Macaca mulatta: one gene and its partners. The protein of the gene in region 1 purifies or fractionates together with the protein of each later gene. This does not show direct contact. Links are inferred from orthologs where the notes say so. Each region holds a gene or a part of one and is shown on either strand. Other genes may lie near its edges.

Evidence for each region.
Region 2: the proteins of CTNNA1 (region 1) and TES purify together in Homo sapiens (affinity purification with mass spectrometry; 3 studies listed by BioGRID and IntAct, with this or other methods). This does not show direct contact. The link is inferred for Macaca mulatta from reciprocal best matches to the Homo sapiens genes CTNNA1 and TES.
Region 3: the proteins of CTNNA1 (region 1) and CDH5 purify together in Homo sapiens (affinity purification with western blotting; 4 studies listed by BioGRID and IntAct, counting the BioPlex papers as one, with this or other methods). This does not show direct contact. The link is inferred for Macaca mulatta from reciprocal best matches to the Homo sapiens genes CTNNA1 and CDH5.

Annotation. Positions count from the first base shown.
Region 1 is NC_133411.1:147,648,360-147,652,010, forward strand, and holds part of CTNNA1 (catenin alpha-1), read left to right. Parts: intron 1-773; 5' UTR 774-775; coding exon 776-880; exon of another isoform or gene 881-935; intron 936-2,029; exon of another isoform or gene 2,030-2,055; coding exon 2,056-2,251; exon of another isoform or gene 2,252-2,273; intron 2,274-3,651. UniProt on the Homo sapiens protein: Associates with the cytoplasmic domain of a variety of cadherins. The association of catenins to cadherins produces a complex which is linked to the actin filament network, and which seems to be of primary importance for cadherins cell-adhesion properties.
Region 2 is NC_133408.1:155,768,110-155,771,783, forward strand, and holds the start of TES (testin), read left to right. Parts: upstream 1-723; 5' UTR 724-904; coding exon 905-931; intron 932-3,674. UniProt on the Homo sapiens protein: Scaffold protein that may play a role in cell adhesion, cell spreading and in the reorganization of the actin cytoskeleton. Plays a role in the regulation of cell proliferation. May act as a tumor suppressor. Inhibits tumor cell growth.
Region 3 is NC_133425.1:61,909,525-61,913,175, forward strand, and holds part of CDH5 (cadherin-5), read left to right. Parts: intron 1-3,383; coding exon 3,384-3,651. UniProt on the Homo sapiens protein: Cadherins are calcium-dependent cell adhesion proteins. They preferentially interact with themselves in a homophilic manner in connecting cells; cadherins may thus contribute to the sorting of heterogeneous cell types.

The DNA of each region.
Region 1 (3,651 bases):
ACCTTTTAGATACTACTATACCATAAATGTTGTGGAGTAGGAAAAATCAGGATCTTCTGTATTCGTTTTTGAAGCAATGTCTTTGAAAGTAGCTTTCGGCTGGGCGTGGTGGCTCACACCTGTAATCCCAGCACTTTGGGAGGCCAAGGCGGGTGGATCACGAAGTCAGGAGATCGAGACTATCCTATCATGGCTAACATGGTGAAACCCTGTCTCTACTGAAAATGCAAAAAAATTAGCTGGGCGTGGTGGCGGGCGCCTGTAGTCCCAGCTACTTGGGAGGCTGAGGCAGGAGAATGGTGTGTACCCGGCAGGTGGAGCTTGCAGTGAGCCGAGATCACACCACTGCACTCCAGCCTGGGCGAAAGAGTGAGACTCCGTCTCAAAAAAAAGAAAAAGAAAAAAAAAAAAAAAAAAAGGTTTACTTTAGCTTTTCATCTTGTTTCTAAAAGATTGGGCAGATAAACTGAGTAGGAACTGAAGTAGGAAGTCTTGCGCTAGAGAAGCCCAAAGGGAAACGTTCTGTGTGTTTGGGAATGCCCTCTTGTAGTACCCCTAGTATTTGTAAGCCTGAAATGATTAAATTTTAAGAGATTGTAAGGTTTACTGGGTCCTCATGTGCAGGCTAGTTAGAATTTTTTCATCTGTAGTGAATGTAACTTTCCTGATGCAAAAGTCCCAAAGTAGGAGAAGATTTAAGTAGGAGAAGATTTGTTACATATTTCATGTTTGTGTTTGATGTTTGCTTGACTGATTTTTTGTTTCTTTTTTAGAAATGACTGCTGTCCAGGCAGGCAACATAAACTTCAAGTGGGATCCCAAAAGTCTAGAGATCAGGACTCTGGCAGTTGAGAGACTGTTGGAGCCTCTTGTTACACAGGTAAGAATCTGAAAACACAAATACATTGTAACCTGGTTCTATAGTACAGGCCTGGGTAACAACCATAAGAGCAAGGTTATTTAGTTCAAAGCCTTAATTCCAGTACTTGAGTTTAGGTGACAGTTCTTAGATGATTTGAATATTGATGCATGAGTTTGTTTAACCCTTTGAGAACGCTGCTGTGGTCATTTTCTTCGGTCTTATTGCTAGTAACTGGGGTCCGTGGTATGTAGTGCAACTTTGCAAATGTTTGTGCTTTGCAGATACTTCACCTTTCTTTAGAGGGGAAACCCAAGAAAGGTGGGATCTGGATCCTTGATTGTTAAGGTGTCTCACTCTGCTTAACACACCTTTCATTGTGTGGGATTAATTAGCAGGTAATTGAACTTGAGGGTTTAGGTTTGGTATATTATGTTATAAATGTCACAATGTTAGGGTAGTTCATAAACTGTTAGCAACTAGCTGTGTACCTTTAGTGTTTTGCAATAGTGTGTCTGTTGTCTGTATGTGAGAGATTCAGAGAGAGAGAGAAAATGAGTCTTGTTTGGCAAATTTGCACTGTAACATATCTTAATCATCTTTAACCTACAGATCATCCGGTATTATGTGTATTAATGATGGTAATGTTCTAGGACATAAAGCATCATCACTGTAGGCTTCTTTGGGCAGTCATTCCTTTATTAGGGGCCTTTACTAATAAATTGCTGAGATTTGTGTGAATAAACCGTGAAAAGACTTCAGAAGCAAATTATCTTAAAACATTTTGCAAAGTTTGAAAACAGTGGCAGTACGATCTCCAGATAAAGCTAAGTTCATTGTTAACCTATTTCTGGAACATAGAGTGTTCCAGATACTATATGGGTGACATATAGTAGAGACATCTAGCTTGTCTCTAATCATTTTTTAATTTGTAAAATCAAACTAAAAACCTAATGATCATATTTGAGAAATTAAAATATGTGTTAAATAATTCTGTACACATTGAGAAAGCTGAGTTATTTTGGAAATTAAATATAGTATCATTGCTGTATATCTTAAATATGGGGAATTGTATGTTAATGCTCAGTGGAATCTCATAAATGTGATTTTTTTAAAGAATAACTTAATCTTGCTATCTTTAAAGATATTAGTCATTTTAATTGACTCCAGTTTAATGTTAAAAATGAAACTTTTAGGTTACAACCCTGGTAAACACCAATAGTAAGGGGCCCTCTAATAAGAAGAGAGGTCGTTCTAAGAAGGCTCATGTTTTGGCTGCATCTGTTGAACAAGCAACTGAGAATTTCTTGGAGAAGGGGGATAAAATTGCGAAGGAGAGCCAGTTTCTCAAGGAGGAGCTTGTGGCTGCTGTAGAAGATGTTCGAAAACAAGGTAGGTCATTACTGCTTTTCATGTAAAGAGAGGCAGGCCTTTCTAGAAAATAAGTGTTTGAAGGAGATTTTTTTTGTGGTCAGTATTCTCAGTTCTCATGCTTGCCAATTGCTCAGTAACTTACTCAGTTATTGGAGATGTATTAACTTGGACTGGATCATATTTTAATTCTCATTCTCATGCTTGCCAATTGCTCAGTAACTTAGTTATCGGAGATGTATTAAGTTGGACTGGCTCAAATTTTAATCATGAGAGATGCTTGCAAAGGGACATCTGGAGAATCTGAATCCACTTCTCTTGGGTGTTTCAAGTAATAGTTAAGTCTTAGAAATGTTGTAACACAATTTGATAGGAAACGTGGGACAGAAGTTTACCTTTCATTCTATGTAATACTTTTTAATTCATGCTGAAGAGATGGGTGTGATAAAATAGAAAAATACCTACTCTGAAAATACTCTAGAAATTGTTCTGTTATGTCAGATTAGTATGTTAAATCAGCCATGCATATTTGCACTGGTTGGAGCTTGACTTAAATAAATCTGGGCATAAAGGAATCATGTTTTGGGAAACTCAGAATTGATAAAAAGTAAAATGGTAATCCACAGTTTACCAGTAATTAATGCTAGAAAAATTGTCCTTACTGTGTTACAAGTGTGGAAGGAAGACTTTAAATATGGAAAGTAAACTTCTCGAAACCTGCAGTTTTTATTTTTAGTAGAGATGGGGTTTCACCAGTGGCTCATGCTGGTCTCAAACTCCCAAGCTCAAACAATCCACCTGCCTCGGTCTCCCAAAGTGCTGGGATTGCAGGCATGAGCCACAGCCCCCACCCTTGAAACCTGTGGTTTTGTGTTAGGTTTCTATTCCAGTCAGAGAATTTCAACAATGCTGTAGGTTTTTTAGGTTATTGGCTATCAGCTAAGGTAAATTGAGCCCTGCTATTTACAGGTGCTCTACTAGCCCTTGGGAGAACTTCATAGATCTTTCATACCTGATGGTAGATTGCATAGTCCAGAGTCTTATGTCAAATTCATCCTTGTGGCAGTACCCTAAAATGGGCAGTGTCTTAGATGGAGATGACATCTCCAGTTGTTTTCTGAATTTGTGAACAAATAACCTTCAGTGGTAAATATTTTTTCAGTTTTCAGGCTGAAGATAAATATTTCTAATACTGAAAATGAAATTATTAGAATTCCACAGTACTAATTAAGCAGGTATATTAGTTTCCTAGGGCTTCTGTAACATAAACTATGACAAGCTTGGTGGCTTAGAATAATAGAAATTTATTCTCTCATGATTCTGAAGTGCAGAAATCTGAAATCGAGGTGTTGGCAGGCTTGATTCCTTGTTGGGACTTAGGAAGAATCTGTGCATGCCTTTTTCCTAGCTTCTGGTGGTTG
Region 2 (3,674 bases), on another chromosome or scaffold:
TGCGTCATCAAAGCCTGAGCACGCGATAGGCCTAGCACCATTTCACACAGCACAAAGGGCAACCCTCTACTTCCAAAGGAATGACACCTGTTTCTGAAGTGATTCACATCATCTTTACTTTTGAACAACCCAATGCTCAGGAAACAATCTAAGAATATTCACTGACGTTAGGGATGTAAGATGCGGTTTCTTGACAGTATTTGGGATTTTGGAGAAAAGCAATCGAGGAAAGGGCATCTCCACAACGCAATAGTCAATTTAGTGCCCAAGGTCCATCACAGGAATCCCTAACGATCCCTACAATCTCTCTCTTTCTCTTTTTCTTTTATTTTTTCTCTCTTTGCTCTGAAAATAAACTGAGAAGTTAGTTTGAAAATAAACTGAGAAGTTGGGATACCTATTCCCCTTGACCCAGATAAAAAGTCCTGGGCAAACACAGGTACAAATTGCCAAAATGAAAAAAGTTCTGCTCTATCTTCAGCTAGAGGGAGGCTGGATCCCAGCTCTTTAGAAGCGGCCCGTGGACGCCCAGAGCATCCTCCGGGGACCAGGTCAGGGTCCCCGAGCTTGCCCCGCAGGGCGCCGCCCCGGACGCGGCCCCGCCCTTCACCTTGCCAGCGCCGAGCTCGAGCCGCGAAGGTGCGTGCGGCGCTCGGTGATTGGCGGCGGCCCGGGGCTGCCCGGCTGCCATTGGCTGCCCGGCCCTCTTTGTTCCCGGGTCCCTGCCGCAGGCCGGCTGCGGCGGACTGGGCGGCGGAAGTTCGACGGCGCCGGTCGAGTGGCTGCTGGGCGGCGGCGTGGGAGTTCCACAGGTTCCCCGTGTCCGCAGCGGAGCCGGAGGCCAGCTGAGCCCGGCCGTGGGATCCCGGACTGGAGGAGGAGGGGACCCATAGGACGCATAAACATGGACCTGGAAAACAAAGTGAAGAAGGTAGGGGGGTGCTCAGGGGGGCGCTCGTGGCGGGCAGCGGCTGCTTCGCCTGCGCGGGTCGAGCGGTGCGCGGCGGCCGGAGGTGCCGAGGCGGGTGGGGCTTGCGGGCCGCCTGGCGTGAGCCCGGCTCTGGGTCTGCGGTGTCCCGGGCCCAGAGATCCGGCCCCCTGGGTAGAGTAGGTGCCCGCCGGCCCCGCCAGCTCCCCAAACTCGAGAGCGACAAAATTGGAAGCGCGAGCGAGGGCGGGCGCGGGGCTCTTCTCTCCCGTCTTACGGAGTCCCAGCGGTTGGAGGTGTTGGAAACTTTACTTAAGATGTTTCAGCTCTGCCTGTGCCTCCTCAAAAGGACGAGCTTAGGGCGAGTGCGGGCGAGACCGTGACACTTCCTGGCTCAGGAAGTTCAACTTCATTAAGCCTTTGTGGTTTGGGGCTCTGCTGTGCTTTGACAGCTCTGACCTCCTCCCTTCCAGCTGGGCTGCCTGGGGCCCTATAAAATGAGTGTTGATTTAATGCACTGCCTTCGCACCCGTGCTGGTGATAACTTCTAATGTGAATTTTTTTTTTTTTTTTTTTTTTTTTTTGGTCATTCATTACTTGTCTACCGAAGCACTGCCTCCCTCTTAGGGAATTATCTGTCAAAGCGCGCATTCTCCCTGTTTGGCAGGGAGTCCCAAAGGGCGGTTGTCACCAGCGTCTCAGCGCAGGGAGACATTTCCAGCCTGGCTGCTGCCTCGCAGGCATTGGAACCGATGGCCTTACCTGAGCCACTCCCGGGTTATGCGGAGCCTGGTGTCGCCTGGGAGAAAAGGGTGGGGACCAGACTGTGACTCAGAAGGAATGCTGATGTCACATTCGAGTGAATTGCCCTGTGCGAAAGTTCTCCTCGTTCCAGGGGATTTGCTCATATTTTACTTTGTGGTAAATTTAAGCTAGCTCTCCCTTATCGGATAGGGAAGTTTTGCAGAGAGAGGAAGGGAAAAATAAAAGTTTGTTTTTTCTCTTACTCATGGTTCCTAATATTCTTATTTTATCTTCTAAACACAAAGTTTCTGACTTGAGCATTAATTCTATTTTATGCCCAGAATTGGATTTTTGAAAATGGATAGAAAGTATTGTGTTAGGACTGCAGAGTTTTCGGTTAGGAAGCTGTTGACCAATAAAAACTTGAAATGAGAAAACAGTTTTTTTCATTCCTTAGGACTGAAATTCGCAAGCACTCAAAAAGGTATCCAGGAACAGAAAAACATAAATTGTTGAGAGTAGCGTGATTGCATTCTATTCTCTTTCCATTTGGTTTCTTTCTTTTTTTCTTTTAAGTAACTGATATTTTTGGTTAATCTTGCTTGTCATGGGGGAAAAGCGGGGAAAGCATTTTTCTCGCTTAGCTTTCTGTTGATGAATACTACATTCATTTAGTTTTCAAGTGGGTAAGAGCTACTTAATTTAGTACTTGTCTAAAACTTGAGGGGTCTTGTCCTTGCTTTTAAGTATTTATTTGAAGACAACTTTGTCAAAGTAAACATATTTTGGGTTGGCCAGGAAGAACAGGTGAAGCACAGGATTTTTAGGGTAATGACCCTATTCTGTATGATACTATAAAATGGCGGATACATGTAATTATACATTAAAATCCATAGAATGTAGAACACCGAGAGTAAACCCTAATGTAAACTATGTATGTTGGGGATAATGATGTGTCAATGTGTTTCATCACTTGTGACAAATGTACAGCACTGATAACGGGATGTTGGTAGTCCGGGAGGCTGCTTGGAGATGGGGAGGCACGGGGGAGGTACATAGGAACTTCGAATTTTCTGCTCAATTTTGCTGTGAAGCTAAAAAATGCTTTAAAAAACAAAGTCCGCTTAATAGGGGAAGAAAAATCAAAGATATTTTTGAAGCTTTTTGAGACAAGGAGTAATTCTGAGGGAAAAAAGTTCAAAGTTAAAAATTGTATGTGCTTGCAAAGGAAAAATGCAGACGTTGTTTATAAACAATTTCCTTAGAGTTTGAAAATGTGGATTATGATAAATAATGCCCTTGACATATGGTATAGTTTTCCTCCTTTATCCCCCACTTTACCTTTAAAAGTTATGTTTTCAACCAAGAATCTTAACTTCCTCTAATTCTCCTCCTCTCTGCCTCTACCACCCCAAAAAGATTTCCGTAAATTAAAGGTTTTAGAGAGAATCTCATGATACAGCAAATCCCTGTTTCACTACGTTGTCTTCACTGATGATTCTTAGAACAGAATCCTCACCTGGTAAATTGGAAGCTATTAAAAAACTGCAAAGATGTCCTATTTGACTCCAGTTTGTGTGGGTCCCTTAATAGATTTGATATTCTAACAAAAAGTTTCCCAGTACAAAAGTTTGGAAATCTCAGGAATGTATTTCACAATCTTGGCCATACTCTCAAAAAGAAATTTACGTTCCTTTTAGCAATTGTTTTCTAACACATCCAAAGAAGGAAATATTACAAGACTATCTGATTTACCAGCACAGTCTTCTCACCCTATTTTGGTACCTAGTTTTCAAGTCGCCTTTCTTTTTGACTCAGTTATACAAGAAAATTAATAGTTTGAATGTACCTTGAGAAAAGGCAGATTAAAAGTTGGAACAAAGACACAACCATTTAAAGACAACTAATATGACTTCTGTTTTAAGATGTGTGACATTTTTTTCCTTCCAAAACTTTTACATTGTTGATTTCATGAAGAATTTCTTCCAGACAGATGAAACGC
Region 3 (3,651 bases), on another chromosome or scaffold:
TGGGTCCTAACACATTCACCCAGAGCCCAGTTGGAAGACCACCATCTTATCCTCACCTTGAGCAACTCACACAGGGCCCCAGACTGTCCCCTTCTCTTTGAGTCTCCACTGTCCTCACAGGTCACCGGTTACAGAACTGAGGCATAGCTTCTTGCCTCTAGTCCAGCTGTTCATCATGCATCCCAGCCACTGGGCCTTAGTACATCCTCATGAACCCACCTGCCCCCTGCACGCCACAGCCCTGCTCCAAGATGCTTGTCGCTGCCCACCTCTCTCCCACCCTGCCCAACCAAGGGGGCGATCCTCACTCCCTGTCTCCACTTCCTCCCCTTCTAGACTTTTCCCTAGGCTGCATCATCTAACTTCCCACCCTATCAACCCCTGTCACTGCCCTCACTGAGGGCTCCAATGACTGCACTGCTGCTAAACCCTGGGGACACTTTCCAGACCTCATGGGATGTGGCCATACCCTTCTGGAATCTCCCTCTTCTTTCTTGAGACCCCAGCCTCTTTGAGTTCTCTGGAGGAGTCCAGCCCTTTTTTTTTTTTTTTTGAGAGTCAGAGTCTCACTCAGTCACCCAGGCTGGAGTGCAGTGGCGTGATCTTGGCTCACTGCAACCTCTGCCTCTGGGGCTCAAATGATCCTCCTTGCTCAGCCTCCCAAGTAGCTGGGACTACAGGCGTGTGCCACCACAGCCAGCTAATTTTTTTTTTTTCTGTATTTTTAATGGAGATGGGGTTTCACCATGTTGGCCAGGCTGGTCTCAAACTCCTGACCTCAAGTGATCCACCCACCTTGGACTCCCAAAGTGCTGGGATTACAGGCGTGAGCCACCACACCCACCCGAGCCCAGCCTTTCTAAGAGTCCTCACCAGATGCCTTCACGTAAAATCCCTTGCTCTATTTGACCTTAAATCATGTGAGGCAGACTCAGTAGCTTATGCCTGTAATCCCAGCATTCTGAGAGACCAAGGCAGGAGAATTGCTTGAGGCCAGGAGTTTGAGAACAGCCTGGACAACATAGTGAGACCCCATCTCTACAAAAAAATACAAAAATTAGCCAAGCTTGGTGGTGCACACCTGTAGTCCCACCTACTCCAGAGGCTGAGGCAGAAGGATCGATTGAGCTCAGGAAGGGGAGGTTGTAGTGAGCCAACACTGTACCACTGTACTCCAACCTGGACTACAGAGTGAGACCCTGTCTCAAAAAAATAAAAAGAGGTTGGGCGTGGTGGCTCACACCTGTAATCACAGCACTTTGGGAGGCTGAGGCAGGCAGATCGCTTGAGGTCAGGAGTTTGAGACCAGCATGGCCAACATGGTGAAATTCCGTCTCTACTAAAAATAGAAAAATTAGCCAGGCGTGGTGGCACGTGCCTGTAATTCCAGCTACTGAGGAGGCTGAGGCAAAATAATCACTTGAACCCAGGAGGTGGAGGTTGCAGTGAGCCAAGATCATGCCACTGCAGTCCAGCCTGGGCAACAGAGCTAAACTCCATCTCAAAAAAAAAAAAAAAAAAAAAAAAAAGCAATGTTGCACTTCCTCAGCGTGCTGGCCTCTGAGGCTGCAAACCTAGGTCCTGAGAGCCAAATGGGATCTGTGCCCTCTGTTCTCCTAGTGGGAGCCTGGCACCTCCCAGGCACCCAGGTATATTTTTTAATTGAATAGAATTCTATTTTGGGGACATACTAATCTTCTGTGAGAGTATCATTGTATATGCATAAAATACTATTCTACGGGAACTGTACTGTTCCTAATATTTTCTGTTTCTATGATTCTTTAAATGGAATGTTTAGCAATTCTAGCCTTCTAAGATCCTCTAATCTGTGGCTCTATTATTAATAATTATTAACTAGCACTTATTGAGCCCTGTTTCGTGTAAGATGCTTTACATATATTATTTTCCAAATCTTATTCCTTGGGACATGAACAGTACATGTTACACAGAAAAATGATTCTGTGGCCTGAGAAGTATGGAAAATCCTGAGTTACACAAAGTTCACTGGAGTTCTCTTCTGCAGAGCTGTACATTGTAAATCTCCAAGAAGAGAATATTTTATATACCATTTCCTGTACTGGGCCCAGGGGTGTGCTGATAAATGTTTGACAACTGGCTGTCCAGGGGAAAGGGTTTGATTTGTAGTACTTGCCAATTTCCACAGTGTAAATACTCTCAACATGTCTCATTTCAAGCTATCGATGTGATGTCATCGAAGGCCAAGACAAGATGGGAGAAGATACTCATGAGTGCATCATTATTTAGTATTTCCATCATACAGATACCATAAACACAGATAACCTCAAAACGTAGTCAAAGGTAGCAAAATAATTAGGAAGCGATGAATTCTGGGAATTTGTTGTTTTTCATATGATTTATTTAATTGTAAGTTTATATAATTTAATTTGTAATAATGGCTGTATTTAACAATCAGCTCACAAATATTCCTGAAAATTTAAGCTGGTTCTCAAAAGCCAAGGTGATACAATCCAGTGCCAGCACACCACTGGCTAGGACTCCATCTTTGTGTGGAACAGCAAAAGAGTTCAGTGTTTCCCAGAACTCATCTTCAAAGGTGCTGTTCTACTCAGAGCAAAGCAACATCAGAAGCGATATTATTTCCGTTTTACAAGTGAGATAACTAAAACTCAGAGAGGTTAAGTGACTTCTACAGGGCAAAAATATCCTTTGCCTTCCAATGGCACCAAGTATATTTTTCCACTCAAAAAAAAAAGTTTTCTAAGCACCTACTCTGTTCAGGCACCATTCTAGGCATATTGGGACTCTGCCAGGCAACTCACACCATGAGAACAATTCATTGGTGACTAGTCAGAGGTTCTTTTTGGCTTTTTAAAAATTTTATTTTCGGGGGTACATGTCCGTGTTCGTTACATGTATATTGCATACTGGTGGGGATTGGGCTTCTAGCGTACCCATTACCCAAATAGTGAGCATTATGGCCAATAGGTTATTTGTCAACGCTCACCCTTATCCCAACCTCCCCTCTATGGGAATCCCCAGTGTTGATTATTTCAATTTTTATGGTCATATGTACCAATTGTTTAGCTCCTACTTATAAATGAGAATATGTGGTGTTGGATTTGTTGCTTCTGGGTTAGTTCACTTAGGTTCATTTAGGATTATGGCCTGCGGCTCTATCCATGTTGCTGCAAAGGACATGATTTTATTCTTTTTTATGGCTGCCAGAGGTTCTTGATAAAAACCTCAGTGTCACACTTAGAGACCCTGGCCAGCACCACACACACCACAAACACACATGCACACACATGCACATGCACACTTGTGTACACATTCTCATTCACATACTCTCACATGCAGCCGCCGCCACCCATTCCCAGTTCACGTCATCTCTTCTTTTCTAGATCAAGTCAAGTGTGAGTCGCAAGAACGCCAAGTACCTGCTCAAAGGAGAATTTGTGGACAAGGTCTTCCGGGTCGATGCAGAAACAGGAGACGTGTTTGCCATTGAGAGGCTGGACCGGGAGAACATCTCAGAGTACCACCTCACTGCTGTCATTGTGGACAAGGACACTGGCGAAAACCTGGAGACTCCTTCAAGCTTCACCATCAAAGTTCATGACGTGAATGACAACTGGCCTGTGTTCACGCATCGGTTGTTCAATGCGTCCG